4 linked regions of the Xenopus tropicalis genome follow. The main gene of each other region encodes a partner of the protein of the gene in region 3 in a complex. Links are inferred from orthologs where the notes say so. Each region holds a gene or a part of one and is shown on either strand. Other genes may lie near its edges. The genes, in order: polr2c, gtf2e2, gtf2f2 and gtf2f1.

Region 1 (8,526 bases), on a different chromosome or scaffold from region 3:
TATCATTTTGATAAGATGTATTCTGCCCATTGGGCCAATTAGGAGGGATTCCCATGCTTTATTTTTCTTTTGTATATAGTTTTTAACCAGTAGTACAGTTAGGTTGTATTCTGATAGGGGGAGTTTAATTACAACGCCTAGGTAAGTGATTTGCTGAACCATAGGGAAAGGTATATTTGATTGGTTATCTGGCAACTGTTGTGGGACAACTGGCAGAATGACTGATTTAGCTGGGCTGGTGACCAGGCCTTGGGTGAGGAATTTAAAGCAATTCACATAAGTAGTTACACTTATATATGCTTCATACACACTGCATATAGCACTAAGGCGCTAATTCAGTCTGTATTCATAAATTAAGAGCAAAGTACAGTGCCCTAAGATGCAAGAGAAATTAGAAAGTGTTACATTAGCATTGTATCTACCAAACTGACACACATAGTAAATTGCATATTAATGCATAATAATGCTGTTATTGTTAATAAACAAAAAGCCACACTACTTTCTGGCAAGCATTCAGCTGCTGTGAATTGAGGCAGAAGCTTTATATCCAGGGATGGAACTAGTGGTAGCCAGAAGAGGCACATGCCTAGGGCACAACAGAGGAAGGGGGAGTGCAAGGCATATACCTCATCTTCCTGCCTACTTTTAATTCATCATTTTATAATTCCTACTCTCAGACCAGGCGAGGGAGGCGACTATGCAATAGTAAATAGCAGGGATGCTCTGCTCGTTGCCACTGCATTGCTGCCCAAGGGTTTGGGCTTACCTTATTGGCACCTCACATTTGGCCCACAACTGCTTATATCTAAAAACTCACCATCTTGCTCCACGTAGTCATTAGGGTCATTGTCTCTGCTTCGTGATGTCACCTGCAAGGAAAAAAATGTCTATTCAGGTGACACTCAAGGTGTTAAGCAAATAGAAAAATAAATAAAAAAATAAATTGTCAGCATCTTTGTGAACAGTGTTTACCAACTTTGTAACCTGAGTAATCTGAAAAGAAGGAAACTGAAAAAGTGAATGAAAGGCAGACAGCCCCTTTAATTCCTTTTTAATGCCTTTTAACTCAGGAAAGTGATTTGGTACACCAGAGGAGACATTGCCTGGGTTATTAGTATCACAATAAACCAGTGAACTAAACAATTTTTAATAACAGAACAATTTAAATCAGTTCGACCTTATTTGCACAACGGCACCCCTCAGTTACACTATTTCCCTATCTAGGGGTTACTTCACCTTAAGGGCTCCTTCAGTCACAAAAAAAAAAAAAAAAAAAAATTATATATATATATATATATATATATGTTGCAAGAAGACAGGCACTCACGTATAAGTAGGTCCAAGGGAGCGCAGTCCCAAAATAATAGATGGAATAGCTGTAGAGAGAGTCCGCACTCACAGGTCTTAAGAAAATATAGAAGTTTTATTCAAATCAACATCTAACGTTTCGGCTGCATCCACAGCCTTTCTCAAAGACAATGTGAAACAAACAATGGTGCACTGAAAAAACCGAATTTGGCGCCAAACAATGACGTCATAGGTGTGAATACATTAGCATACAGTGTGAAAAAAACGCTCTCAAAACACATTGAATCAACATGTTAAGATAATATGGATTAGGCATAGAACACAAACAAAAGGACTGTCAGGAGAAAGGAAAAGTGGGTGTGTATTAAAAAAAAAACTAGATACATAAGCGGGCTTTTTTAATACACACCCACTTTTCCTTTCCCCTGACAGTCCTTTTGTTTGTGTTCTATGCCTAATCCATATTATCTTAACATTTTTTGTTGATTCAATGTGTTTTGAGAGCGTTTTTTTCACACTGTATGCTAATGTATTCACACCTATGACGTCATTGTTTGGCGCCAAATTCGATTTTTTCAGTGCACCATTGTTTGTTTCACATTGTCTTTGAGAAAGGCTGTGGATGCAGCCGAAACGTTAGATGTTGATTTGAATAAAACTTCTATATTTTCTTAAGACCTGTGAGTGCGGACTCTCTCTACAGCTATTCTATATATATATATATATATATATATATATATATATATATATATATATATATATATATATATATATATATATATAAAACATAAAAAAAGCTTTCTGGAGCAAAATAATACATTTTAACATTTTTAATTGAACATTAAAGGAAATAAACATTTTTTAAAGCCAACTTATTAGGGATGTACTAAACTCAATGTTTATGGATTTGGTAAAGTGGCTGATTAGATTCAGCAGTATCCAAACACATCACTAACGTACATAATCAATTCTGAGCAAAATGAAAATAAAACAGGAGACTGACTGGTATAACGCGGAGGTTGTTTGAGACAAGATCACGAGAGGTCACATGGCGTGTCTGGTCTTCATTGCATCGGACATCCAAAGTAAATTCCACAGAGCACTCTGGACAAAACTCATCACATGTACAATCCTAGTCAGAAGATTTTTGGAGAAGACAAAACTGCATTGTAAGAGCAAGAAGCTATGGCAAGTTTTATTACAGATAGCCTAGATAGAAGTCTGAAGAACAGATCAAAATGAGCTAATAAAATCTCAGCCTTGAAGATTTGGAAATTCATCCTAGTAATCATCTGATCAGAAAATGTATATCCATCTCACTAAAATGCCTTTCCACCAGTGATTTGGAAAGGCGCATGCGGCGCTTTATTTTCCAAAGTCACGTGAAGTTGCCTGCAGGAGGAAACTTCACTTGACTCCAGAAAAATGAAGCAATGTGTATGCCTTTCCACCAGCAATTCACTTTGATGCCAGTGGAAAGGCATTTGGGGGAGATTAGCCACCCACGATACCAAAGATTAACCATGTCCGACTTATCTCCCCGTGAGCCATGAGCCTAAAGGGGTCGCTCACCTTCAGATAGTACACCAGAAATAAAGGCTTTTTTTCCCCCAACTGCTTTTATTTTTTCTGTTTTTCTAATATTGAAGTTTCATATTTCGCCTTTTCATGTCTCCATAGAGCAGCTGGGGAATAGGGGGCCACTGTTCTAATTTGATACATTAGTTGATAATCTTTTATTTTTCACCCTGCTTGGCATAATACCTGAGTTTCATTAAAGGCAGATGACTGCACATAGATTACTTAGCACCAAACAACAGAGAGAAAAAACATTAAAAGGGATTGTGACACTATGCCTACAAAAACCCTGGTGCTGCTATTCTTTTCTAATGGGTGTGTCCCCCTGCCTCCCCCCTACTAACCTCTTTTGCTATCTAACATGGCATGAGTTGAGCAGCTTCCTGGTTTACTGGGGTTGGGGCACTGTTTAAATTGGTCCTTCATCTTATCAAAAACTTGTCCCACCCCCAAGCACTCCATCACTCACAAAGCTGTTGAACTCCAAGCCCTGCCAGAGACCAACACAGGTTATTAACGTATGGATGTCTAGAAACGCATTCCTGTTAAAACTCTGAAAGTGTCACTATACCTTGAAAGGTGAACAACCTCTTTAATTTAAAATAGATTTAATTAGTTTCAAATACAAAGCACTTACCCTAGAGTACTGCAGTTTATCTACTATATCATCACTGGTCAAAGGGATCAATCCTAAAAAGAGAGAGAGAGAAATGCAGAATTAGACAATAACACACTTGCACTATTATTATTATTAAAGAGATACTGACACCAGAAAAAAAAACCTTTTTTATATCTATCATAACACTGTCTTTTCATGAGCTTTATAATTTTGCCATAAAAGTATTTGCAAGATGCTTTTACATTACCTATCTGATCTCCCATGTCCCTCTATGAGGGAGCGGCCATATTTGTGCAGCAGGAGTCCGTTAGCATTAGAAGCTATAACTGACAGGCTGAGAAGGGACAGTCAGGTTGGGAAAACAGTCAGGTTTAAGTAGCAATTGCTAATAAAAGCAAACCTATCAACAAAAACTGATCAACATGACCTATTGGTAACTTTTTATGTAGATTCATAATTTAAAAAGTAGTTTTTTCTTGTCAGTATCACTTATCGCCAACATATTCCGCAGCGCTGTACAATAGCAACTGGAGTTTCTCCCTAATGGCAAAACAAGCTAGACAACGTATTGCTAGTAGTGCAAGTAGCCTTAACTAGAAATATTGCCCTGCTACTCAATGTAAATTTATCTTTAAGTACTTACCAACTCTGTGAGCTATGAACTCATCGTGAAGAACAGAGGAATTTGCATCTATCTGCACCCAATCTATAGCTGTAAAATAAAACATAAACAACAAAAATGTGTTATTTTAATGTAAGGGGCACCAGAATGCATTACAAGGGGTTTTGAGATCTAATGTAATAAAACATTAATGCTCACAAACACTGCACTGAGTGTTTCCTGTTCAGGTAAGCTTTATTGCAATCATGCTGAACAAGGGCCCTTTAACCTTTCTTATGCAGGACAAGAGCACATACCTATAGTAGGAACTTCTGCTATGAACACCCTACGGATCGAGTTAGCAATTCTGAAATAGAAAAAGGTTTATTAGTATTAGATAATTAATGGCTGCTTATACAGAGGAACAAGTGTAACAATTTTTCCTTTTACTCATTATTTTATAGCAATAATACCTGCATATTTTTAGCACTCAAATACACATTTCCTAAAAATGGTTCTATAAAAAATCAAGTGCAGCATGATTACTACCTTACATGGGAAGCAGTGTTCCATTTCTTCTAATTCTAAATTTAGTTTTATGCCTTTGAGGCCTCTTAAAGGAGACATATCCTATAAAAATTATGAATGAATTATAGTGAATTATACTCCTCTAGATATAGAACGATTGTGCTTAATAATGTTGTGTTTCAGACTGATTTATTGAGAAATTCCACAAAAACCCCACTAGCCCCGCCCATCTGTTCCACTTCCTGCTGGCTGAATTCTCTGGATGAGCTGGGGAGCCGGCGGCCCTCCGTACACTGCACTGTAGGATAGGAACCAATCAGCAGCTAGGCTGACCTGATAGGGAACTGAAGCCTGTCTTTGCTTGTCTGAGTGCAGGGCTGTGATTGGCTCTCCCCCTCCTACTGTGCTTCTGGCAGGTACTGTTAGGACACGCCCATTCTTCATTTCACACTAGGGAGCTCCAATAAAGGGGCCATTTTTACAGAGAAGATTAATTTTTAGCACAAACAGAAACCAGAACCGTATATTATTCATAATTGCCTACAAAATTAGCGTTTTTCCCATTTATCCAATATGTCTCCTTTACAAAGTATGTTAGCGATATTGGTATGAAAACATGCAGTTTTTTTTTTTTTAAATGAACCCTTTAGGTGCCAGGCACTATATAATCTACTAACAGACACAAAAGGTGAACTAGAAGTTGCTCCTGAACACATGGGAAACCAAAAGGGTTAAAAGAACTACCAAAAATAAATATTCTCAATCAAAAAAGGTTAAAAAGAAGAATGGGCATCCATGCAAACAGGTGACCCTGAGGGAAATGAAACAGTTTCATACAGAAGCACCAGAAAATAGTGGAACCCAAAGAAGGAGTGATTACATTACATTAACATTTATTTATAAAGCGCCAACATATTCTGCAGCGATGTACAATATGTGGGTTACATACGCCTAACAGCCAACTTGTCACACCTCTATCATGTCTTTAGTTGCCCTTTAGAGAAGAGATGCGTCCAGGAAACCAGTGGTACCCAGCATGACATACGTCATCATATGGTGATATAGTCACACTATTATTTACACTTTTAGGATAATTAGAAACAACAGAATAACACAAAGTAGATACATGACACAATGGTGAATAAGTACCACATCATACCTAGCCGAAGTTGGAAAAATAAAAATCTAAACTCTATTTCCACCTAACCATTCCCTCGCACTTTACCACTCATTATAAATGTGGGGGTCTCAGGAATTGGGATTCGAGAGACAGGCAGTCTGGGGCAGCGAGTATGCAACATGCACACCACACATCGTTCTGAAAAAAGCAATTAAACCCATTATTCTGCCATAACAGTCAAAGGTCTCTTACGCCAAGTCAGTATTTTCCACGATAAACTTGACATTCTCGTCAGTGAGCTCCGTTATCCGCACTGTAGGCTGGTTCGCGTACGGCATCCTCTCAACACAGCAACTTAGAAACCGGAAACCGGAAGTTGAGAACCGGAGACCACAGAGATCAAGCGCGTACAGAAAGGGGTTGCCTTTCGTGGCTACAAACAATAGAGTTTGAGTTCTATATGGATCATTAACGATCAGGATGACTAGTTAAAGGCGGTGTCGGACTGGGGCACCTGGTACCCATCACCTAACATTGTAGATCATGTCTCAAGTATATTGCAACAAAATATGGGGCTTTAGCGGTAAATCTGAAACTTTGGGGTCTAAAAATGCACTGAGCATGGTGCCAACATTTTTATGCCGTTTGCCACACACTTTAGTTATAGTTACCCAGACATACACTTAAGATCACTGCGTTAAATAATTTATGATCACATTTACTCTAGACCTGCAGAAATTGATAATGTAAGTATTAACTTTACACATGCCAGTAAAATGAATGCAGCAAGTAGGTATCAGCACATTTATCTCAGGCATGTCATAAACCTTTCTTCTTTATGCCTTCATGCTGCTTGCCCTGTTCTGTCAAAGACAATTATATCTGTTCTTCTATTGCTCCTTAGATCCTCATTCTCTTACCTGCGCCACCTCTGAAAGTTTTGCCTGCATAAAAAATTAAAGATGGCGGAACACATGACCATTTTTAACTTAAACTCCCATTCAACACGAAAATGGTTTTGTTTCGGGACATAGTCGCCAGGCCTGGTGGGGCCCAACAAGGTGAAGGATAGGTGAGCAGGTGGCTAGGGCTTATCACTGAAGCATGAATTTGCCAGGGCCCAGCAAAGTGCTGGGTGGGTTGGGGCCATAAAGGAGAGAGGTGGGCTGCCAGCAGGGTCTAGCGGGGCCCAGCAGGATATTAGTTGTAATATTGGTGTGTAGGCAGCAGTCTCAGTGCATTGTGTCTGAGTCTTCAGAAAAAGCCAGCACTACACATTAGAACTGTTTTCGGCAATCTGTTGTTTCTCCTACTCCCATGTAACTGGAGGAGTCCAAAACCGGACTTGGATTTTTTACTATTGAGTGCTATTCTGATATCTAATGGGAGCTGCTATCTTGCTACCTTCCCTTTGTTCTGCTGGGAGGGGGGTGATATCACTCCAACTTGTAGCTCAGCAGTAAAGTGTAAATGAAGTTTATCAGAGCACAGGTCACATGGCTGTGGCACCCTGGGAAATGAAGATCATGGCTAGCCCCATGTGAAATTTTTTAAATTAAATATAAAAAAAGTTTGTCTTTTCGAAAAACAGATTTCAATGCAGGATTCTGCTGGGGAAGCTCTATTAACTGATGCATTTTGAAAAAAACATTTTCCGACGACAGTATTTCTTTAACTAGAAACAATGCTGAATGGCCAAAGAGGTGACTGATAAATTTGAATATATGTTTATAAGCAAATAATCTTCACAGGCAAGATTAGGTTTCCTACTTACCCCAGTAAATACACTGCAGGGGACAAGATGTAATCAGAAAGGTACGTCACAATTTACCAATATACCTGTGTTATAAGGGAATACCAAACCAAATGAAAGAGATGTGAGTCTTGATTCTGGAATTTAGAGCAGTTGGCATCAGGCCTACACTTCATCCAGTTTTAAGGTTTGATGGATAATTATAATCTGGATCCTTTGTAGATATGAGGAAGCTAAACTGATCATATTTGTCCACATTTATTGGAGAAATCATGGTTTCACATTTATTTCTGGTCCTGCTGTTTGTGAGCTCATCAATATTATATATATATATATATATATATATATATATATATATATATATATATATATATATCTCCATTATAGAGGGAATTTAATTTGTAGAAGTGGACAAGATCTTTTGTTCTATTTTTGAATATTTCTTTAATATGCTTAAGAGTAAATCCATAAAAATCAGGGCAAAGCAGACAAGACCTATGTGCACATAATTATGTTCCTGAGGCTACAATGTCTAGCATGAAGCTATCAAAGATCCACAACAGAGGTCAAGCAATTGGCCATTTACGGCAAATCTCAAAAAGTGTCATCCAGTCACAGTTCACTGTCCAAATACCTAAAACAACTCTTACTGGTACTCACCACCAGGATCACTGGCACATGAAGTACTAGGCCTTGCCACTATTTGTTGCAGTTGAACCATGTACTGGCACAAATAAAGACAGCAGACCAGAGTTCCAGGGCAGCATCAACTTTGAAGTAAATTCAGTTTTACTGAGTCTCACATGCTTTAACTCAGTCGCACATGCAGCTCTGCTGACAGGAAAATCTTATTTTCTTACACATTTATTTAGGGACATAGGAATATCTGAGCTTCTGCTCATGGGAACATGTTTCTTATGTGAGAATGTAAACATTTCCACCCATCTGATATTTAATAAAATAGACAAAGATGAAGGGGATCCTTGGCTTGTTGTGTTACAAAAAAAAATCAGAACTTC
Region 2 (8,251 bases), on a different chromosome or scaffold from region 3:
GTATGGCACACACAGGCAGGGTAGGGAAGGCAGAGTATGGCACACACAGGCAGGGTAGGGCAGGCAGAGTATGGCACACACAGGCAGGGTGGGGCAGGCAGAGTATGGCAGGTTTTTGCTGTACTATAACCATTAATATGGGTATGGTCATGTGATAACACAGGTGTGGTTTCAAGTGGGTGCAGTTTCAAAAAGGGGAATGGTCAAAACTGGCTTCCATTATCGGCCCTCCACTACGTAGGTCGGAAAAATTCCGGCCCTCGGTACTACAGAAGTTGGACAACACTGGTCTAGGCTTTTGAGAGCTTTAAATCATTTAAAGTGTCAGTGTGCTCTGTCAACCTGATATTTGTTTTCCTGCTGCATCAGATTGGTTTTCCCTTCTACAAGTTACAAGTATTGCTACTAGCAGCTAATGAAAATATGTAATAATATGTTCTACTGCAGTTCTTATTGATATCAATAGAGGGACCTATTGAGAGTACTGGATTGTTGGTATAACAACGGCCCTAAGCTCCAAACAAACCAATATGCCATAGGCTTAGAGCACCAAATAATAACAGTTATTGATTATTTTTGTAGTGTTTTTGTTAAGAACTATTTGTGAAAAATATTTTAAACCTCCTCTAATGACAGGTTTAATTATTTTTTTAGTCCAGTTTTATTAGAGAAGGAATGCAAAACCTTTTACATTTTTCCTTCCAGGCTGCTGCTTCTCTTCTATTAAAAAAAAAACAAAACAAAAAACACATAGGCTCAAGGTTCTTTTTATCTGAGGAACCCTTGCAGTGTGCACATTACAGGCAGCATAGGGCAGGCATAGTAAGGCACACACAGGCAGTACTCTCCCTGCCCTATGCTGCCTGTGTGTGCCATACTCTGCCTGCCCTATGCTGGCTGTGTGTGCACCATACTCTGCCTGCCCTATGTTGCCTGTGGCAGGTGAACCTGGCAGGGGTTTGTTCTGGGAAGTTGCTAGCATTTGTAAATAGTCATTATATGGTCCCTAAGGTGTGTAATTATATGCTGGGGGTGTTGCTCTACTATCCACAGGGGAGAAGAAGGAGGCGAACATGTATTTAAGGGTATGTCTTAATACACACATAATACATTATTATATGACCTAATACATTTTTTTAACATATGAATGAGGCAGATATCCCTGCAGTGAGCACCAACCATTTGGGTTTTTGCTGCACTACCACCATTAATGTGGGTATGGTTTTAAAAGCTGATAGCATGGGTGTGCTTTGAAGTGGGTGTGGTTTAAAAAGGGGGAGGTGATAAAACTGTCTTCCTTTAACAGCCCTCCACCATGTAGGCCAGTGTTCCCCAGCCTGTGGCTCATGAGCCACATGTTGCTCCCCAACCCCATGGATGTTGCTCCCCGTGGCCTCAAAGCAGGTTGCATAAAAACCCAGTATAATGCAGTAGGCTGCCAGTGCACATGTGGGCTATTAAGTAACCAAATATGGCTCACAGGTATAAAAGGTTGGGGATCTCTGATGTAGGCCCTTGATACCACAGAAGTTGGAAGTTGTCCCAGTGCATTTGACTTTCCTTGCCATTAATAAAAAAAATCCAATATTAGCACAATGCACAGCTGACATCTAATCATACCAATGCAGTATAAAGTACAAGTTTGGCATCTGTTGTTTTGAATGATGCACCATGCCTTAAGGCTAATAAGAATTCCAACCAATATGGATTTTTGAGAGCTCTTTATTACTTAAAAAAAAACTAGTTAGAAAAACATTTAAATTGTTCATTTCACTTTGACACTATAAGAAATAGCTCTGTCATATTTTAGTTCTTGATAACAGATTTCTGCATAATAGGAGTACAATGTGACTTTAGAAACTAGCTGCAAGAACCAACCAATGAAAGGGTTATAGGACTGTGGGATTAGAAAATAGCAAAACACGCAAGTGCATTACTAGACAATAGTGATGAGCGAATCTGTACCATTTCGCTTTGCTGAAAAATCCACATAACTGCAAAAAAATTGTGAAACCGGGAAAAATTGGGAAATGCATTGAAGTCAACACATGACAAATTTTACGTGTGATAAATTGTACACGCAAATTGTTTTTTTCTTTACTCCAAATGCATTTTTTATATCAGTGTTATTTCCATCTCTGTAACAGATGCATCGATTGTTCCGCAGTTTCGCAAAAATATTTGCCGAAATGCAGAACTTCCCTGCGAATCCATGCCTGGTGAAGAAATTCACTAGATAAATAAAAGTATATACAAATAAAGAACATAAAACTGGATTACAGTTTAGTGAAAAGACAATCTGAAAATCTAAGAGATTGCACTAAAGATAATATTTGGGATGAATGCATATTGTGCAACTCTCCTATATACCCCTGTTGATTGGGTCTTTGTTAAACAAGGGTTTTATTTCAGATCAGACAGAATTCTTCAAATGTTTATCCAGGCACCCTAGTTCAATCATGAATGGTCTAACTGTATGAAAAAACTTCCAAAAGTTGTTTTTTAGGGTTTTATATTGTTACACGAGACTGCCCAGCTATGTACAATATACAATGAAACTTTTACATCCCTTGATTTTACGCTTTTCTGCACTTTACAATGTTTTTTTGCGATATCACCAATATATAATGCATTTGCGTGATTTTACACCATTTTTTCTTGTCCCCTACAAGATGGGGGGTTCTATTGCAGTGCTGTCCTGTTAATTGTCTCCTATAAGTAAAACCCGTTTGGTTCCTTTGTAAGCAATTAATCTCAGAAAGGAGACTGGAAAGTCCATCAATAACTGACTGGCTCACCGATTACAACGTTTTAATGGAAAATTTGATACAATCAATGCAGGTTGCCACAAAGACCATCCCACAAACAGGTGCTGAAGCACATGCTTACGTAACATGTTACATTTAGGGATACTGTAACAATTGTCAATTCTCTAAGTTTTTGGCGAGAAGTCCTAATGTTGCAAACCTAAAACCATACACTTGGGGGCACATTTACAAAGGCACGAACGCTCGAGCGTTCATGCGAACGCTCCGAGCGTATTTTTGCCGATTTTTTCGGGCGTCCGCACGACTTTTTCGTACGCCGCACGACTTTTTCGTACGCCGCACGACTTTTTCGTACGCCGCACAACTTTTTCGTACAGCGCACAACTTTTTCGTACAGCGCACAACTTTTTCGGACGTTTGCACGAAAAAATCGGAAAGGTTTTACCGCTGTTTACAATTGTTCGGTACGAAAATTTCGTGACTTTCGGATCGCCAATACGATATTATCGTGACTAATAAATTTTCGTTTCCAATACGATTTTTTCCCTTTCGTGATTCGGATTCGTGGATTAGTAAATGTGCCCCTTGGATTAGCAGGCTAAATCAGATAGAAAAACACTGCTCTGCGGGTATTCTGCAGGTATTTGACTTAATGCAGAACTTCCCAGTATAATAAATCTGCATAAAAAAAAAAAAAAAACTTGCAATGCATATCTTGCATATCTTCTACACTGAAAAATTTACCTTTTAATCAATCTGAAAAATTCTCATATGTGTGATACTTAGTCATATGGTCAGCCAAAAGTAATTTTATCATGAAAATGTTAAAGGCATGCCCAAAAACCAGAACAAACAAAAAAAAAAAATTTCACCAGTAATATAAGAAAACAATCTGTATAAAATTGTGGTTTACACCTGATCAGAGGTTTCAGTGCAAAGTTTAGCAATAGGAAATATGGGGAATAGATATGCCACTGCTTGATATATTAGAGAAACTAAATGTAAAAAAAATTAACCTCTTTTGTTTAGATATATTCTTTTTTTTAGAAATCTGAACAAAAAAAAAAAAGCTATGAAAGTGGGTAGATGTATTTAAATGGGCCTTTACAAAAAATTTATTTGTAGCATCAACCCAACATGAACTCTCATCTGAACCGCTAGAGCAGCATCCAACATTTTAGGAGTATTTTAAAAAGGTGCATTAAATTGCACAATACATCCACAATTGTTCTGTATCAAAATACATGTATGGAATCTATTATCTGTAATGGTTAGGACCTGGGGAACATAGAGCCCCATGTCCTAAGTCCACTAATGACTCTCATAATATAGCTGTCCCTACTATTATGGATCTACCACCATGTTGGTGGTAATAGACACAGAGTTGAAGGCATTATTTTTCTTTCTGCAAATGTTAACATGTCCAGATTTTGAAAAATGTTTATGCATTTATGGGTGTTGCTTCTATTGGTGAGTTTGAATTTGCTACTGGGAGTTTCACTTTAATGATGCAATTTCTCCACATTTGGAATATGTTGTCATGATTTTAATGGACATTGAAACTGCAATTATTTTGAAGTTTCAATGTCCATTGCTCCTGCATCAATCTTTTGAAACGCTCTTAGCTGGTTCATGCCAATTTAAAATTAATGTACTGAAGTGCTGACTGTCAGACCGCTTTTAGATCTGACACATACAGCTAACTGTAATGTTTTTTCTTTAAATTGTGAATTATTAACTTTATACATAATGTTCTTTTTTATTTTGTGTTTGCTTTATTTTTCCCACTCACAAACATACAGTAGCAGAATGTTTACAGCAAAAGATTTAACAAAAACTTCAGTCAAGTGAATCCTAAGGCCCACTTACAGATGCAAGAAGAAATGCAAAGAACTAGGTTTATCATAAAATTACATTGACATAAAGAAAGGCACTAGTGATGAGCGAAATTTTCCCCATTAAAAAAAACATCTATAGACTCCAACGGTGGAGAAAATTACAAGAGAAAAAGTTGTGTGGTAAAAAATAGTGCAGTAGCTGTGAAAAAACGCCAATTGACATAGGGGGTGTGGTTGCAAAAATGGGCGTGGTCAAAAAATGTGGCATTTCTTTTTGTCCCTCTTTCCATTTTCAAAAAGTTGGGAGGTATGCTTTAACAATATGTCTTCACCTTTTTAATACAACAATATTTAGCCCTTGGGCTTCACTACAGCATCATTTTGATTTGTGCCCCAACACAAAAGTACAGTGTGCACAGTAAGAATTGTTCTGCAGATTAATAAAAGCTGGGAATAAGAAATTAATCATTCATTGGGGTTACTGACCTAAGCTTGGCTTGGATCCCGAAGTGCCACTAGGTTCAAGTTTGGCTCTCTTTTTCTTTGAAGACTCTGAAGAAGCACTTGGACGTTTTTCCACAGCTGGTGTGGTCAAGGCTCGCTTTTTAAAGAGCTCCCTGTCTCTTAGTAGGGCTGGATCCATGGTACTGTAAATAAAACAATAAATAAAAAATGAATTAGCCTTGTACAGGTATCGGACCCTTTACCCGGAAACCCATTATCCAGAAAGTTCGGAATTACGGAAAGGCCATCTCCCATAGACTCCATTTTAACCAAATAATTCACATTTTTAAAAATGATTTCCACCAAGCTTACTTTTATATGTACCACATCTAATGCAGTAATAAAATAATATAGTACTCAGAAAGAATGGTTTAAAATAATCATATTTTTTCAACACATTCTTACATATTTTGCCTATATTGGAAACATATAATTTAAAATATCCATTAGGCATTTAGATTCAGTTCAGCAGAACCCAAAAGTGGCTATAAAGCTTTGGACAACAGAACATTTTGTTCACAAATTATGATTTTTTGATTTCTCAAATTAGGGTTTGGTGCATTCAGTGCAAGCCTAGTATTCATTGCCTTCGTGCTGGTGTTGTTACAAACATAACTTTTTATAAAGCAAAGAGGTTTACATATTTGCATACTGGCACAATGGCATATGTTGCAAATATCTGTGTATAATCAAATACATGTTCCTTTAACAATTTTTACAATACAGGTATGGCACCTGTTATCCAGAATGCTCGGGGCCTGGGGGTTTTCCGGATATGGGATCTTTTCCATAATTTGGATCTCCATAACTTAAGTCTGCTAAAAATCATTTAAATATGAAATAAACCTAATAGACTTGTTTTAAGGATTATTTATATCTTAGTTGGGATCAAGTACAAGGTTCTGTTTTATTTTTACAGCAAAAAGGAAATCATTTTTAAAAATTTGAATTATTTGATTATAATGGAGTCTATTGCAGATGGCCTTTCCGTAATTCGGAACTGTCTGGATAACGGGTTTCCGGAATAAGGGATCCCATACCTGTACTAAATAGAAGATGATTATTTTTTTTTTTAGTGGGGAATTTTAGCCACTTTGCCTATTTTATTTAAGACATTTACTTAAGACACTGACCAAACCACCCTAATAGCCATTTATAATAATATATAGAATACAAATAAAATAAAAAAAAATTTAATGCCTTCTACTACATTTTTGAAGGCAAACTGTCCCTTTCACATGTTATATGTTATATATATATATATATATATATATATATATCTTTGTGGAAAAAAGTATGAATATTTTCTACAATTTGTTATAAAGGCAGATAGTCTTTTTAATTTGTTATATCTCTGTTGATGTATCCCTGTGGAATAAAAGTATGAAATAGGGCTAAAGTCCACAAGTGATTTTGTCGAATGGTGTCAGATCAATAAAATGCATTCGACAAGTCAGATGTAGTCACGTGGGTCAAAATATGATAGGACTGATACAAAAATCTCATTTGTTAACTATATAGAAAATATTGTCATGCAAGACAATAAGCCTGTCATAAGGGAACACTGCATCCAACAAAATAAAAACTGATGGTGTTAGAAAGACTTTTGGATGTTGATCGGAAAACATCCGATTTAATCTTATGCAACATTACATTACAGCCTGTGGAGATCAGATTTTGATCAAAATCTTGTGTATGTAGATAACGATTTGCCACTGTTATATATACATTTTATTGCCCATGATTTGCTTATAAAACAGCAAAATTGGTTTACATAAACTGTTTGGAGTATAAATGGACCAGAAAATTTTAAAGGGATTGTTTACTTTCCACACACTTTTTTTAGTTTAGATATTTACAAATAGTACACCAGCAACTAGTTAGTTTCTTTTTTTATTTTTGATCTTATAATATAAACTAATTTTCCTTCCTCTGGCAATTCAGACTATCAGCTCAGTAAGTCAGATGCAGACTCTTTTACAATTTGCTCCATTAGTTGACACATTTCTCAGCAGCATCAGAGAACTTCGACCCGTATATTATAATCAAGCTCAGAAAGTATGCTCAGTTGTAAAGGTAGCCATGAATTCAGCAGCGATATCTGCTAATAATCGGCCAGGTGTAGATCGGGGAGGCTTGATTTTTCTGCCGGATCAAGGGATACATGAGCTCATTTATACGGTCCTTGCTCTGACTTTTTGTATACCCTTCATTGTAATGCAATCTTTGGTTCTAGGGCCAAATGATTGCATTATCATATCACCCACCCATGATGGGAATATCACCCACCCATGATGGGAATATCACCCACCCATGATGGGCATATCAAGGAAAAGATTTGAATTACGTGTTAGATGATTGGGTCTGGGACTGAGGCAGGGGATATTTCCAAAGGTAAAGAATGTACTCAAGCCTTCTTAAGGATCACACAGCCAGCTCTCTGCTACTGGAGACATTAAGCAAAGTCAGATTGTCACTGGTGGTAAGTTTTTCCAGGGTGAGGCATGTACTAAAAAAAAAAAAAAAAAAAATCTGGGCCATTTTTTTTTTTAGTAATACTGTCATTTTCCAAAGGCTTTCAAAGGAACATGTCATTATCACTTTAAAAATATTTCACTGTCCCAATATTAGTCAGAACATGCATCAAGCGCTAAACAATTGTGCAACACGCATTTAGAAAAATGTAGTATATTGTAACATTGCTTGAAATTATGTTTACTTTTCGAAAAGTTTAAGTTGTGTTTTTTAAGAAAAATATCCCAGAGAATAAAATTTAATTCTTGTTCATTAAGTGGGACATATGATCAAAAGTCTGAATACTTTTTAAGATGCTGTAATATTCACAAGTCACTTCTGTACACATCTGCCTTTAAAAAAAAGTTCTTTGGTGTCCCTAAATAACTACATTATAACAGCGTTTCTTATATAGCAAAGCTGGTTCAGTGGCATATTCCCTCACAAGATTCCTTATGAATCTGCACTAAATACATGACATCTCATATAGGTTTTGCCTTTGCTTTGGACATCCCCAACTTGTAGGCAGAAACTAAGCATTACAATCACAGTTATCAGATGTTGGTTCCAAAATAAAGCCATATATACATCAGTCTAGCAGTTACATTTATATACACAGCCAGAGGT
Region 3 (7,741 bases):
GTCGAGACATCTCTACAAGCATTATTCTGCCTACTGATCTCCTGGCAACGCCCATGGGAACAACAGAAGTTACAGGAGGAAGCATTTAATTTGGAATACACAAATATTTACACATGGGAGGGGTCTCTTCACCCCCTTTTACACTTTTACACACATAAAAGGCCTTGAGTAGGGAGACTATCAAATATGAAATAATCGTACTCTGCTACTAAACAGGAGGAGTAGATATACAAGTGTGTATGGAGGGTAAAGGAAGCCCTCTTTCCTGTTTGGTGGCTTCTTTAGTTGGTTGCCATACTTGTTTTTTTGCTTAGGAAGATTTCCAAGGAAGTTTGGAGTCAATTTATCTTGGCACAAGTCCTGGTGGGGATGCCAGACAGAGTGTGTTTAAATTTCACAAAGGGTTGCCAATTGTTTTGGAAAAACACACCCACTTTTCTAAGCTTGTATCTCTTTACTATTAATAACACTGGCATCCTTTTTAATGGCTAGGTGGTAACCCTACTATTACCCCGTGTCAGGGTATATACTAGCTGAAAGCTAGCTAAACCTAAAGCAAATGGAGCAGCAGGTGCTTGTGCATGAATGTGAATGCTGCCCCGGGCATCAAGGACTTATTATACAAGGGTTTATCATCCTCCCACTCCCACAGGTACTATACTGTATCATCCTCCCACTCTCACAGGTACTATACTGTATCATCCTCCCACTCCCACAGGTACTATACTGTATCATCCCACAGGTACTATAATGTATCATCCTCCCACTCCCACAGGTACTATACTGTATCATCCTCCCACTCCCACAGGTACTATACTGTATCATCCTCCCACTCCCACAGGTACTATACTGTATCATCCTCCCACTCCCACAGGTACTATACTGTATCATCCTCCCACAGGTACTATACTGTATCATCCTCCCACAGGTACTATACTGTATCATCCTCCCACTCCCACAGGTACTATACTGTATCATCCTCCCACTCCCACAGGTACTATACTGTATCATCCTCCCACTCCCACAGGTACTATACTGTATCATCCTCCCACTCCCACAGGTACTATACTGTATCATCCTCCACTCCCACAGGTACTATACTGTATCATCCTCCCACTCCCACAGGTACTATACTGTATCATCCTCCCACTCCCACAGATACTATACTGTATCATCCCACTCCCACAGGTACTATACTGTATCATCCTCCCACTCCCACAGGTACTATACTGTATCATCCTCCCACTCCCACAGGTACTATACTGTATCATCCTCCCACTCCCACAGGTACTATACTGTATCATCCTCCCACTCCCACAGGTACTATACTGTATCATCCTCCCACTCCCACAGGTACTATACTGTATCATCCTCCCACTCCCACAGGTACTATACTGTATCATCCTCCCACTCCCACAGGTACTATACTGTATCATCCTTCCACTCCCACAGGTACTATACTGTATCATCCTTCCACTCCCACAGGTACTGTACTGTATCATCCTCCCACTCCCACAGGTACTATACTGTATCATCCTTCCACTCCCACAGGTACTGTACTGTATCATCCTCCCACTCCCACAGGTACTATACTGTATCATCCTTCCACTCCCACAGGTACTATACTGTATCATCCTTCCACTCCCACAGGTACTATACTGTATCATCCTCCCACAGGTACTATACTGTGTATGTTCTAAAGGCTGAATCTCTAGCAGAAATGAAATAGTTTTTTTGTCACCTGGCATCTATAATATCCCTATCACCCTTGCTCCATTCCTAAATGAACTCTTTTGTTCATTTCTAGTTAGTTACAGTGGAGCTCTCACGGGACTGCATAGCTGGGAAACAAACCAATGTTGTGTATCAGTGCCAGTGTTATAGTGCCAGGGCCTGAATATCTGCCATCAGTACCCACTGCTTCTCATTGCATAGAACGTGCTGGTTTTGTACATATAAACTCCATTTGACTGTACATAATGTGCCTGGGATGTCAGCACCCACTGCCTTTCTCACTATGAAACTAACTAAAACAAATTTAAGCTAACTGATCACAAACACAAATAGATGAAGCACACCTCACCTAAGTATATGTATAAATACTTTTACATCCTAAACTTTTAGGGAAAAAAAAAAAAAGGATTCCCACCCTGGAAGTCAGTGGGAACCACAAGAGAGAGTTAAGGGGTTCATTTTTTATGCCAGCAGCGAATCCACTGAGTCTCACATTTCACATCTCAGCTTTAAGTCAGGCAATGTATGGCCAATCTTTAGCCTCCCCAAACAAAAAGGTCACCCTCCGCCTATGACAAGACAGCAGAGGAGTCACAAAAAGATAAAGTGAAAATACCTAAAACCCACACACAAAACAGAAAACCCTGTAACCTTCTTACCAGCATGGTAACCTCATTCTGGGCCTCTGACAACAGGGACCGTAATGAACCACTTACACACAGGTGCTGGGGTAACACAGGAAGTGGGTAACGTGAGATGTTTAAATGGCAATAGGGCTCTCTTAGCAGATTTCAGTGGCAAAGATAAGTGGGGAAAAAAGAATGTGAGTGGCATCTGCCGGGACAGGGACTTATCTTTTGCAAGAACAATATGAAAATGATGCCTTAGAAGTAAATAAGAAAAAACAGGCACAGCAGTAGATGGCAGGCAGAGAAAGAGCACTGGGATTTCAGAGAGAAAATCCCTAAGGCCATCAAACCACCGTGTGCAAGCATGGGCTGCAAAGTGAAGCATCTAGCAGCTGAATACAAATCAAAAGGAGCAGGAAATATTCCAAGCATCTGCTCACGAAATGAGCCCAAAGAAGAATAAATGCAATTGGAAGGAAGGTGCATTTGTATTGACAGGTATGGGATCCCTTATCCGGAAACCCATCATCCAGAAAGCTCCGAATTACGGAACGCCCATCTCCCATAGACTCCATTTTAATCAAATAATTTAGAATTTTAAAACGGATTTCCTTTTTCCCTTTAGTAATAAAACAGTACCTTGTAATTGATTCCAACTAAGATATAAATAATCCTTATTGGATACAAAACAATCCTGTTGGGTTTAATTAATTTTTTAGTAGACTTAAGGTATGGAGATCCAAATTACGGAAAGATCCCTTATCCGGAATACCCTTGGTCCCGAGCATTCTGGATAACGGGTCCTATACCTGTACATAGATCTGATAATTGATCTTAAGCCTTCTGCTCTAACAAATGAAATCCTTTAATGCTCATAGCTCAGCACTGTAACACGGAATGGCTAGCAAGTAAGTGGAACAGGAGGGAAGCGGCACAACGTGAGCTCTCATAGTTACGGGGATCTTTTCATCTGAGCTAGAAACCAGTCAAGCAGCAAGAGGATACAGCAAAAGATATAAATACATGGGCTCCTGTAAAAACTGTATAATAACTGCCCTATTAGGAAATAGGTCTCCTGTATATATTGCCATATTCTGCATTAGAGCCATTGTATTCAGTCCAACTAATGCCTTGTCTTCCTTGGGAATAAGGAGCATATGTGTGAAAATAGCAAACTTTGCCAGGCTACAATCACATTAATATTTTATAATATTATTAAGTTTAATTACAGAGTGCTAAATATATTATGCACCACTGCCTCCCAAATGAGATGTGTTAAAAAGCAAGAAGATGAAAAACATTCATTATCTTAGATTTTCGCTGAACTGTGAAAGAAAAAATTGAAATATGAATATTAGCCAGCATTATGGATGGCTCCGATTTCCACTGTCCCTTTGCTGCTGACCTCTGTGTTTATAAGCATTAGCAGCCCACAGGGGCAAAGGGGTGCCAAAAGGGGAAGCAGAGATCATGGAGGGTGAAGATGGAGCATGTAGAACAGTAATCCCCTACCAGTGGCTCGTGACAAACATGGATGTTGCTCCCAGTGGCCTAAAAGCGGGTGCTCGTTTTTGAATTCCTGGCTTGGAGGCAAGTCTTGGTTGCATAAAAACCCAATTCCAAACAGCGCCTTCTGTAGGCTGTCAGTCCACATAGGGGCTATTAAAGGAAAAGTAACACTAAAATCTTTTAAGTAAAAAAGCTATTCTACCCTGCACCAATAACTGCCTTATCCTGCAAACCACTTAGTATTTAATGCTTTATTTTAAATGCTTTAATAGAAAATACCTGCTAAAACACAGAAGGAAGGCTAGGCTCGACCAATCAATCGATGCATAGTGGATGCAACTCCTTCCTTCACCGTATCGCTGTAGTTCAATTGACAGTAAGCCAAGTTTTAGCAGCTATTTTTTATTAAAACATTTAAAATACTAAGTGGTTTGCAGGATAGGGCAGTTATTGGTGCAGGGTAGAATAGCTTTTTTACTTAAAAAACATTAGTGTTACTTTTCCTTTAAATAGCCAATTATTGCTCTTATTGGCACCATCAGGAACCATTTTCATGCTTGTGTTGCTCCCTAACACTTTTTCCATTTTCCATGTGGCTCACGGGTATAAAAGGTTGGGGACCCCTGATGTAGAAGGAGGAGCAAAGTTGTTGAAAGGGAAGTTATGTAGGGATGGGCACACTGGGAGACGCAAAGGTCAGGGCAGTGGGAGGGTACAAGGAGAATGGAGGACATACTCAGTACTCAGTGCAACACTGGTATGAAATATACCCAGAGCCCAGTACATTGTATTCGTGGCTATATGGATAAGTATAAAGCAATTTTTCCTTTTTTTGGGGCTGTTGAACTGTACAGAAGGCCCCTATGAGTAGGGCAAAAGGTATGGGTTTAAAAAAGGTTGAAATTACTATACATATATTAGGTTGAAATTACTATACAATGGGAGCCAAGACCTAGATTTATAGTGCCTACATACATAGCCATGACTGCAAAAAGCCATACATACATACATACATACATACTGTACATACATACAAAGCCATGACTGCAAAAAGCAGCAAAGCCTATCCTGCAGAAATCTATCTACACAAGCAGTGGTTTCCCTCCTCTATGAGTGATGTAACCCTATCAGCATTATAAAACCTTGGAGCACTTCCTAGTGACCCTGGCAGATACGGATAGCTGTTCCTTGATGTGTTATGTGTTATGCTAAGGAGCCATGTTATTAGGATGCCCAGAGACATATGAGAGTTGCTCAGTTGCCTTAGGAAACTGTCTTTTTTTAAAACAATCATTTTCCCTCCTTGCAGTCACAGACACTCTCAGGCACTCACCACGGGTTGCTTGGTAATGTCCACGAGATCCTTAATGTTGTAGTACTGGTGTTTTTCAAATGCAGAGAACAACATATCCAAAACCTGGTGCTTATCTGCTCGGGCTCGCTTGCCGTCATCCTTTTTCTTCTTCTCGTACTCAATCTGCACAGACAATTATGCACAAATTAGCAGTTACCAGATTTCATTCTGCAAGTGATATATTTACATTCTATGAAAACCAGACTATATAATGCACCATTGCCCATTATGACCACAGTCTAATTATCTATAGCAATCAATTAGCAGGTAGAATTTGCTGGTCACACCTGTTTAAATGGTTGCTATGGGTTACTGCACCTTGGTAAACAATGTGCCTTTTATTACATATAATTTCTTCTTATTCTGGATACACCCAAAATGCTTGCCTTGAGGTAATAATTCTCCATATGTAATTAAAAAGAGTTAACTTGAGAGAAACATGGAATGGTAGTATGGTGAGGGTCAGGCTTGTACTGGCCAGCCGTCGTACCACGGCATCTTCTGTTTGATTCCAATGTATCACAAGTCCCATCAACTCATTTGCCAAAGTCGCCCAAAGTTTCCTCTCAAGGCAACTTCAGCATATCACGGCGCCGCGTATGCCATTTACATTATAGCCAGTGGGATGGCATTGTGGGGAGATAAGTTGCCCGCGACAACAAAGATTTGTCGTGCGGCGACTAATCTCCCCATGTGTCACTGCCCTAAGGTGAGAAGATTCAAATTTGCAAGTTTGAGGCTCAATTGACAGCTGCCCTACTGAGAGTTTTTGCCTTCCAATGGGGTAGGAAATCATGGCAGGAGCTCCGGTGCATGCCTACTGCAGTTTCCATATTAAGCACATGGCCGTAGTATCTTAATCATATTAACCCTTTTCCTGCCGGTGACCCAGTGGGTTTTAGGTCCGCAGTTCAGGAAAGACACGTTGGTAGGCAATGTGTTTTGCAGTGGCGTAAAAACCTGGAAACACAGGTACAACGTTGCTGGCATAATGTCACAATCCCCTGACGACAACATAGTACTATTTGCTTGGATGTGACTTTATTTTAGGAATGGTGAACTGGAGGGCCACAGGTTAAATATGACCCTCAGATAGATTAAGGCCTCCAGAGTGTTCAAAAGCCCCACCAGGCTCTTTGGATGCCAACATATTACTATATCTATGGGATCTTTTACGAAGAAACCAGTTATCCAGAATGCTCCAAACTAGAGAAAGGCCCATCTCCCACAGAGTCCATTATAGCCCAATACATTTTGTAAATGGAAGATGCCATAGACAGTAACTGTTTATTGGACTGGTGGGGGGCTGTTTGGGCCTCTGTGTAGGTGAAATGCCAGGGGTATTTTAAAGGAGAAAGAAAGGCTAAATAACTATGGGGGTGCCAAATGTAAGGCACCCCCCCCAGTGATTGTAATCGCTTACTGGATACCCCTGGCTGGTGCTCCTGTTAGAAGAAAACTGCACCAGTTGGGTATATGCGAGCATACCCCAGCTGGTGCAGTTTTCTCCTAACAGTAGCACTGGAAAGGGGTTTCAGGTAAGCGATTACTGCGGGGTGTCTAACATGTGACGTAGCCTTTCCTTCTCCTTTAAATTACAGTCCAGACCTGGAGGTCATGTCACATGGGGGCAGGGCGATGACATCACATGGTGTGCAGACTGGGTGGGGAAGGGCACTGGGCAGGCTATTCTTATAAGGGGTAATTCAGCTCAGGGAAGGGAGGAATTTATAGGGTATTACAAAGTTACCGGCAACTACACTGCCGGTAAATTTGTAGTTCCAGCCCTGGCTGGTGATTTACCAGATGGGCCAGTCATATACCGGCCTGGGGTGGCAACCCTAGTTGTGTATGACATGAGCCAACAATGCCAACAACAAGGGAGTCGCTTGTATTTGCCTCAACGCGCGCTACTTGTCGTGCACGCTTTTTAACGCACGAGCGCACACCATATTAGCCATACACACCATTACGTTTGTAAAACTACTTTTCTGAAAATGACCATTTCCCTGCAAACTGGAGGATGCATCACTCTAGGGCCCACACATACTTGAATAAATCCCACTGCAAAGGCCATATTGTGTTGCCAAAAGCTCATTAACTGTACTTTTCTATAATTACCGCCTGCCTCAAGTAGGTGTTCATTTTCGCATAGACTAATGCGATATTTAGCGCGTCTAAGTGTTTGTGAATCATGTGTTAGTATTATTTATGTGCGAGAATTAATGTAATGCGATAAAATTAACGCATTCGGTCGCGCGCTATTTAATGCACACGATAACACTTTAGTGAATCGCACATTTTTTTTCGCATCAATTTTAGCGCAAAAAAGCATATTGCACTTTAGTGAATCAACCCTATAGGTCTTTACAGTTACCACAGGAGATCCCCATCTTTGATACTGTTAGAACTGTCCGGGACAGTGCACATGCTCAGTGAGCTCTGAGAAGCTGTTGAGAAGCTGAGCTTAGGGGTTGTTGCAAATTATCAAGCAGAAAATTAAGCTGGCCTTTCA
Region 4 (8,411 bases), on a different chromosome or scaffold from region 3:
CTCTGTGTTTTATGGTTCACCTGAAAATTAGCAAGAAGGAGAATGAAGATGCTGTTATAGGGCAACCTGCAACTTTGTTTCCATTTATTTTTATCTCTTTAGTCTGGAGCTGCGCAGTGTAGTGTTTCAACCACTATTTGGTTACTGGGGATACTCACCCTAGCAACCAGTAGGCTTGAATCTGCAACCCAAGAAAGTTTTACAGCACATGGCACCACGTACAGTAATGGTTCTGAAACACCTGGGTAGCCATGGGGTCAGACAGGTCTGGACTGAGACTCAAAAATAGGCCCCGGCATTTTCAGTACACAGAGGCCTAAACGTCCCCCCACTAGCCCAATTACTAGTGAGTTTCTATGGCACCTTACAGCAGCCCCTCTGGCATTTGCCTGAACCCACAGATTGCCAGTCTGGGCCTGATTTTCAGTACACAGAGGCCCAAACAGCCCCCCATAGGCCCAATAAATAGTGAGTGTCTATGGCACCTTACAGCAGCCCCTCTGGCATTTGCCTGAACCCACAGATTGCCAGTCTGGGCCTGATTTTCAGTACACAGAGGCCCAAACAGCCCCCCATAGGCCCAATAAATAGTGAGTGTCTATGGCACCTTACAGCAGCCCCTCTGGCATTTGCCTGAACCCACAGATTGCCAGTCTGGGCCTGATTTTCAGTACACAGAGGCCCAAACAGCCCCCCATAGGCCCAATAAATAGTGAGTGACTATGGCACCTTACAGCAGCCCCTCTGGCATTTGCCTGAACCCACAGATTGCTAGTCTGGGCCTGATTTTCAGTACACAGAGGCCCAAACAGCCCCCCATAGGCCCAATAAATAGTGAGTGTCTATGGCATCTTACAGCAGCCCCTCTGGCATTTGCCTGAACCCACAGATTGCCAGTCTGGGCCTGATTTTCAGTACACAGAGGCCCAAACAGCCCCCCATAGGCCCAATAAATAGTGAGTGACTATGGCACCTTACAGCAGCCCCTCTGGCATTTGCCTGAACCCACAGATTGCCAGTCTGGGCCTGATTTTCAGTACACAGAGGCCCAAACAGCCCCCCCCATAGGCCCAATAAATAGTGAGTGTCTATGGCACCTTACAGCAGCCCCTCTGGCATTTGCCTGAACCCACAGATTGCCAGTCTGGGCCTGATTTTCAGTACCCAGAGGCCCAAACAGCCGCCCAGCAGCCCAATAAATAGTGAGTGTCTATGGCACCTTACAGCAGCCCCTCTGGCATTTGCCAGAACCCACAGATTGCCAGTCCAGGCCTGATTTTCAGTACACAGAGGCCCAAACAGCCCCCCATAGGCCCAATAAATAGTGAGTGTCTATGGCACCTTACAGCAGCCCCTCTGGCATTTGCCTGAACCCACAGATTGCCAGTCTGGGCCTGATTTTCAGTACACAGAGGCCCAAACAGCCCCCCATAGGCCCAATAAATAGTGAGTGTCTATGGCACCTTACAGCAGCCCCTCTGGCATTTGCCTGAACCCACAGATTGCCAGTCTGGGCCTGATTTTCAGTACACAGAGGCCCAAACAGCCCCCCATAGGCCCAATAAATAGTGAGTGTCTATGGCACCTTACAGCAGCCCCTCTGGCATTTGCCTGAACCCACAGATTGCCAGTCTGGGCCTGATTTTCAGTACACAGAGGCCCAAACAGCCCCCCATAGGCCCAATAAATAGTGAGTGACTATGGCACCTTACAGCAGCCCCTCTGGCATTTGCCTGAACCCACAGATTGCTAGTCTGGGCCTGATTTTCAGTACACAGAGGCCCAAACAGCCCCCCATAGGCCCAATAAATAGTGAGTGTCTATGGCACCTTACAGCAGCCCCTCTGGCATTTGCCTGAACCCACAGATTGCTAGTCTGGGCCTGATTTTCAGTACACAGAGGCCCAAACAGCCCCCCATAGGCCCAATAAATAGTGAGTGTCTATGGCATCTTACAGCAGCCCCTCTGGCATTTGCCTGAACCCACAGATTGCCAGTCTGGGCCTGATTTTCAGTACACAGAGGCCCAAACAGCCCCCCATAGGCCCAATAAATAGTGAGTGACTATGGCACCTTACAGCAGCCCCTCTGGCATTTGCCTGAACCCACAGATTGCCAGTCTGGGCCTGATTTTCAGTACACAGAGGCCCAAACAGCCCCCCCCATAGGCCCAATAAATAGTGAGTGTCTATGGCACCTTACAGCAGCCCCTCTGGCATTTGCCTGAACCCACAGATTGCCAGTCTGGGCCTGATTTTCAGTACCCAGAGGCCCAAACAGCCGCCCAGCAGCCCAATAAATAGTGAGTGTCTATGGCACCTTACAGCAGCCCCTCTGGCATTTGCCAGAACCCACAGATTGCCAGTCCAGGCCTGATTTTCAGTACACAGAGGCCCAAACAGCCCCCATAGGCCCAATAAATAGTGAGTGTCTATGGCACCTTACAGCAGCCCCTCTGGCATTTGCCTGAACCCACAGATTGCCAGTCCGGGCCTGATTTTCAGTATACAGAGGCCCAAACAGCCCCCCATAGGCCCAATAAATAGTGAGTGTCTATGGCACCTTACAGCAGCCCCTCTGGCATTTGCCTGAACCCACAGATTGCCAGTCCGGGCCTGATTTTCAGTACACAGAGGCCCAAACAGCCCCCCCCCCCCATAGGCCCAATAAATAGTGACTGACTATGGCATCTTACAGCAGCCCTCTGGCATTTGCCTGAACCCACAGATTGCCAGTCTGGGCCTGATTTTCAGTATACAGAGGCCCAAACAGCCCCCCCCCCATAGGCCCAATAAATAGTGAGTGACTATGGCATCTTACAGCAGCCCCTCTGGCATTTGCCTGAACCCACAGATAGGGATAGAACAAGGCAACCTTCCTACCCACCTGATGGAATGGATAACCCAATAGGCACATAAATCATCCAAGGGACTCTGTTGTTATATTGCACTGTGCACTTTTATGTACATGATGGGTTACAGTTACATTCATATACAGACAGTAATGGGTGTAACAATATTGGGTCACACTTCCCCTTTAAAGGAACAGTAACACCAAAAAATGAAAGTGTATAAAAGTAACTAAAATATAATGTGCTGCTGCCCTGCACTGGTAAAAGTTGTGTGTTTACTTCAGAAAGTCTACTATAATTTATATAAATAAGCTGCTATGTAGCCACGGGGGCAGCCATTCAAAGGAGAAAAGGCACAGGCACATAGCAGATAACAGATAAAACACTATTGTATTCTACAGAGCTTATCTGTTATCTGCTATGTAACCTGTGCCTTTTCTCCTTTTTTCCAGCTTGAATGGCTGCCCCCATGGCTACACAGCAGCTTATTATATAAATTATAGTAGTGTTACTGTAGCAAACACACCAGTTTTACCAGTGCAGGGCTACAATACATTATATTTTTATTACTTTAAAGCTCTTTCATTTTTTGGTGTTACTGTTCCTTTAACCTTACAAATGGAATGTGAGAGCCAGGTTGAGATAAGGGGTATTGAATCCCAACTCAACCTCACCCTGTACCCAGTTTAAGTCATTTCTGATAGAGGGGAGTGACTTTTACATTAAAATACTTCAATGCGATATAATTTGAGGCATTCCGAGCTCCCCATGAAATTAATGTCAGGGTAAGCAATATGTCAAAGTTTGCCCATTCACTGCCGCTGAACTTCCTCTGTTGCCAGTATGAAATATGGCCGCCGCCAACTAACTTCCCTTTTTTTTCTTGCGCTACGTTCAGGAAGCTGCGCCGGAAGTACCAGGGAGCCGGTGACCGGAAGTTTGCAGTGGAGAGACTTGTGTGTGTTGGTGAGGCAGAGAAAGAGTGTTGTGTAAGCGGCTCATGTGTAGGATATCCCTACGCCTGCTCTCACACTTTCCTTCCGCTGCTGGGACTGGGATATCCCTACGCCTGCCCTCACTTTCCTCCCATCAGGTGCTTCATTCAGCCGGGGCTGTAGCACAGCCACTAACCTGCGCCATTAATCATTATATATAGAAAGTCATTGTGCTGTATGCTTCCCTTCCCTACTGAACTCCATTCTATATTGCCTTCCTATCATGCTACTGCCTTAGGGAAGGGTCAGTCAAACAAGGACAAGTCTAACTACAGCTCTCCCATCTCTATATATCTGGGGGGGGGGGGGCTTGAAACTACTCTCACCAACAGAAAACTAACTATATATATATATATATACTATACTAGTAACTATACTATAACCCCATTAGTGAGTATGTACTGTATATAGGGTCACCATTCTGGCTTTGTACTGACTTTACCAGCCCCTCCCCATAGAGGCAGGATAATGCTTATCGCTTCGCTTCATGCAACTGTCTGTGTGTGTGTGTATTGAGACAATTGAATTCTATCTTTTATAGATCCCAAGGGAACCTGCCCTGAGAAGCGATGGCGTCGCTGGTAAGTGGTGTACAAGTACCTGTGTTTGTCTGTATGTATGTATAACTTTATTTATAAAGTGCCACAAGGGTACGCAGCGCTGTACAATCTTACAATATACACAATTACACACAGGGAGGGCAAGTGTTATAATAAATACAATAAATAAATATAAATACATGGGGAGTAAGTGCCATGTGGTATGAGACAGTAGGAAGGAGGTCCCTGCCCCGTAGAGCTTACAATCTAAGTGAGTGTAACACTCTTTCCTTCTTCTCTTCTTCCCATTTGCTTTAGCAATCTGCCAGCTACTTTTTAAAGGAGACATATCCTATAAAAATGATGAATGTAATGTGTATGAAAGTTGTGTTTCAGACTGATTTATTGAGATATTCCCCCAAAACCCCACTAGTCCTGCCCATCTGTTCCACTTTCTGCTGGCTGAATTCTCTGGATGTGCAGGGGAGCCGGCGGCACTCTGTACACTGCTTTGTAATATAGGAACCAATCAGCAGCTAGGCTGACCTGATAGGGAACTGAAGCCTGTCTGTGCTTGTGTGAGTGCAGGGCTGTGACTGGCTACTCCCCTCCTACTGTGCTTCTGGCAGGGACCGTTAGGACACGCCCACCCCTCATTTCAAACACAGACAGAGAAGTGATAGGATCTATAGGGAGCGCCAATAAAGGGGCCATTGTTACAGATAGGATTAATGTTTAGCCCAAAGGGAAACCAGCACCGTATATTATTCATAATTGCCTACAGGATTAGGGTTTTTCCCATTTATCCAATATGTCCCCTTTAAAAGAGAAGAAAGGCTAAATGACTGAGTGATCGCTTACCTGATACCCCAGGCTGGTGCTGCTGTTAGGAGAAAACTGCCCCGGCCCAGGGTATATGTGAGAGAGCGTTCCTCTTCCTCCTTTATTCTGAATCCCGGGGCAGTTGAGTGAAACAGACAGCTTTATTGTTAGTCGGCTCCTCACTCTACTGCGCGTGGGCAAAGACCGAAGCAGGAAGAGAAACACTGGCTCACATACACCCCAGGCTGGGGCAGTTTTCTCCCAATAGAAGCACCGGCTGGGGGTTTCAGGTAAGTGATCACAATCACTGGGGGGGCTAATATTTTGGCTCCCCCCACCCAGTGATTGTAACTTTACTTCTCCTTTAACAGAACAGACATTACTAATGCTTATTCCTTTAACCCCTTGTCTCCCAGCAGACTTCTTCCCCAGCCCCATTCCTTTAACCCCTTGTCCCCCAGCCCTGTGCCAAATTGACCAGCAGACTTCTTCCCCAGCCCCATTCCTTTAACCCCTTGTCCCCCAGCCCTGAGCCAAATTGACCAACAAACTTCTTCCCCAGCCCCATTCCTTTAACCCCTTGTCTCCCAGCCCTGAGCCAAATTGACCAGCAGACATCTTCCCCAGCCCCATTCCTTTAACCCCTTGTCTCCCAGCCCTGTGCCAAATTGACCAGCAGACAATCTTCCCCAGCCCCATTCCTTTAACCCCTTGTCTCCCAGCCCTGTGCCAAATTGACCAGCAGACCCCTTCCCCAGCCCCATTCCTTTAACCCCTTGTCTCCCAGCCCTGTGCCAAATTGACCAGCAGACTTTTTCCCCAGCCCCATTCCTTTAACCCCTTGTCCCCCAGCCCTGTGCCAAATTGACCAGCAGACTTCTTCCCCAGCCCCATTCCTTTAACCCCTTGTCCCCCAGCCTTGTGCCAAAATAACCAGCAGGCTTCTTCCCCAGCCCCATTCCTTTAACCCCTTGTCCCCCAGCCCTGAGCCAAATTGACCAGCAGACTTCTTCCCCAGCCCCATTCCTTTAACCCCTTGTCTCCCAGCCCTGTGCCAAATTGACTAGCAGACTTCTTCCCCAGCCCCATTCCTTTAACCCCTTGTCTCCCAGCCCTGTGCCAAATTGACCAGCAGACGTCTTCCCCAGCCTGTGGCCCTGCTACTCTTATATCTTTCTGCCAGAGCAAATCCAGTAATGGTTGTTTTCTCTTTTATCTCTGTATTTACTGAAATTCTCATTCCCCACAGGGCACCAGTGGCCAGTCTGTTACAGAGTATGTGGTGCGTGTACCCAGGTAAGTAAGCAGTCTGTTACTAGTGGATATCTGGGTGCACTTAGCTGTGTTCTCTTCTCCCAGCCTGGTAACATCAATATGTCTGAGAATACATGCTTAACCTGGGATGTCCCTGTACCCAGATAGTATATCCTTCCCATTTACTGTGTGCAGTGTCCTGATATTTCTCCATAGATATTCAATGCATTCTCTCTTCTCTCTGTTGGTCAGGAATCCAAATAAGCGGTACAGTCTCATGGCATTTAATGCTGCGGATAAAGTGGATTTCTCCACGTGGAACCAGGTACAGGATTACCATTTTATAATCCATAAAGGGCAGCATCCTAATCATTGTACAGTGTAATACTCACAAGCCAAAAATACACAGGGCTCTCCCTATGTTGGATGACGTAACTCTAGATAGGATTCACTATATAATTAAGTTTGGGCTGTCTATAGTATGTATGTGCAATTTTGTTTAGAATGTCACATGTGCCATAGTCCCAATTCCCCTGCTGCCAAACTAAAGCAAATGCGTGGCTGTATTGGTCTGTATATCTGTGTGAGTTGTGACGGGTACCTGTATTTCTTCAGGCTCGTATGGAACGTGACCTGAGTGCCAAAAAGATGTATCAGGATGAAGAGATGCCTGAATCTGGGGCTGGCAGCGAGTATAACCGCAAACAGAGGGAGGAGTCCAGGAGGAAAAAATACGGGATCATTTTAAAGGAGTTCAAACTAGAGGATCAGCCTTGGCTTCTGCGAGTGAATGGAAAGGCAGGACGCAAGTAAGTCAGCAATGAACAGCATAGGGCTTTATTCTATTCTTTGTTTCTATCTTCCTACCACTGGGGGCAGCGCTGGCCCAATATCCTTTGTTTCTATCCTCCTACCACTGGGGGCAGCGCTGGCCCAATATCCTTTGTTTCTATCCTCCTACCACTGGGGGCAACACTGATGCAATATCCTTTATTTCACTTGATTCCACTGCCCCTCCAGGTATAAAGGCGTGAAGAAGGGCGGAGTGACGGAAAATGCCTCTTACTACATATTCACACAGTGCGCAGATGGAGCATTTGAAGCATTTCCAGTCTCCAACTGGTACAATTTCACTCCACTTGCCAAGCATCGCACTCTGACGGCCGAGGAGGCGGAGCAGGAGTGGGAAAGGTAACCAGAGGCAGCAAATAAGGCCCCCACCCATATTATATACCCTTATTAGGGCATTTTTGCCTTCATGATAGCAAATGCATAAGATTTTGGGGTGATACAAAGCTTGCCTTAATACTGTACACAAAATGGCGGCTGCCTGCAGACTGTGACTGTGAATTCCAAGAGTGAAGGGAAAAAATTAAATAATTTATATAGTGTAAGGAAAGTTTATTTTGCTCAACTAACATGATAGAAAAGGATTTGGAATAATTTCTTAGAGTGACGGGTCCCCTTTAATGATCCGTCTCCTTGCCAGACGCATAAAATGTGATTGTAAGACCCACGGATTAACTGTCTTTCACCTTCCTGCAGGCGCAACAAAGTCCTCAATCACTTTACCATTATGCAGCAGCGTCGCCTGAAGGACCAGGTGGGAGATGATGATGAAGAGGAAGGTGGGGGAAAACAGGAAAAAGGAGGAAAGGGCAAGAAAAAGAAGAAAAAAAGTGACCTCAAAATCCATGATCTTGAGGATGACCTTGATATGAGCTCCAGTGAAAGCGAGGACAGCGATGAGGAGGGTAAGTTATTGTGGGGTAGGGGTTTGAGATATTAGCAGTTTAGGACTGCCTATACCCAGCTTTTGGCTCCCTAGTATAAGTATAAATGTTGATGGAAAGTAATGAAACAGTAGGGGATGGGTATAAGGCAAAAGATGGCTTCCCTCATGTTCCCTCTGTCTCCAGGCGAGCGTCGCACAAAGCCCCAGAAGAAAGC

What was found.
Region 1: gtf2f2 (region 3) and polr2c share a complex: the UniProt entries of both Homo sapiens proteins name them as parts of the TBP-based Pol II pre-initiation complex. The link is inferred for Xenopus tropicalis from reciprocal best matches to the Homo sapiens genes GTF2F2 and POLR2C.
Region 2: gtf2f2 (region 3) and gtf2e2 share a complex: the UniProt entries of both Homo sapiens proteins name them as parts of the TBP-based Pol II pre-initiation complex. The link is inferred for Xenopus tropicalis from reciprocal best matches to the Homo sapiens genes GTF2F2 and GTF2E2.
Region 4: gtf2f2 (region 3) and gtf2f1 share a complex: the UniProt entries of both Homo sapiens proteins name them as parts of the TBP-based Pol II pre-initiation complex. The link is inferred for Xenopus tropicalis from reciprocal best matches to the Homo sapiens genes GTF2F2 and GTF2F1.

Annotation. Positions count from the first base shown.
Region 1 is NC_030680.2:76,281,547-76,290,072, forward strand, and holds the start of polr2c (DNA-directed RNA polymerase II subunit RPB3), read right to left. Parts: upstream 6,118-8,526; 5' UTR 6,093-6,117; coding exon 6,007-6,092; intron 4,474-6,006; coding exon 4,424-4,473; intron 4,218-4,423; coding exon 4,149-4,217; intron 3,577-4,148; coding exon 3,524-3,576; intron 2,441-3,523; coding exon 2,312-2,440; intron 870-2,311; coding exon 818-869; intron 1-817. UniProt on the Homo sapiens protein: Core component of RNA polymerase II (Pol II), a DNA-dependent RNA polymerase which synthesizes mRNA precursors and many functional non-coding RNAs using the four ribonucleoside triphosphates as substrates.
Region 2 is NC_030677.2:83,788,509-83,796,759, reverse strand, and holds the start of gtf2e2 (transcription initiation factor IIE subunit beta), read right to left. Parts: upstream 5,254-8,251; 5' UTR 5,250-5,253; coding exon 5,093-5,249; intron 1-5,092. UniProt on the Homo sapiens protein: Recruits TFIIH to the initiation complex and stimulates the RNA polymerase II C-terminal domain kinase and DNA-dependent ATPase activities of TFIIH. Both TFIIH and TFIIE are required for promoter clearance by RNA polymerase.
Region 3 is NC_030678.2:133,916,098-133,923,838, reverse strand, and holds part of gtf2f2 (general transcription factor IIF subunit 2), read right to left. Parts: intron 5,350-7,741; coding exon 5,206-5,349; intron 1-5,205. UniProt on the Homo sapiens protein: TFIIF is a general transcription initiation factor that binds to RNA polymerase II and helps to recruit it to the initiation complex in collaboration with TFIIB.
Region 4 is NC_030679.2:140,872,039-140,880,449, forward strand, and holds the start of gtf2f1 (general transcription factor IIF subunit 1), read left to right. Parts: upstream 1-3,823; 5' UTR 3,824-4,415; coding exon 4,416-4,427; intron 4,428-6,456; coding exon 6,457-6,503; intron 6,504-6,713; coding exon 6,714-6,786; intron 6,787-7,076; coding exon 7,077-7,270; intron 7,271-7,481; coding exon 7,482-7,652; intron 7,653-8,006; coding exon 8,007-8,215; intron 8,216-8,380; coding exon 8,381-8,411. UniProt on the Homo sapiens protein: TFIIF is a general transcription initiation factor that binds to RNA polymerase II and helps to recruit it to the initiation complex in collaboration with TFIIB. It promotes transcription elongation.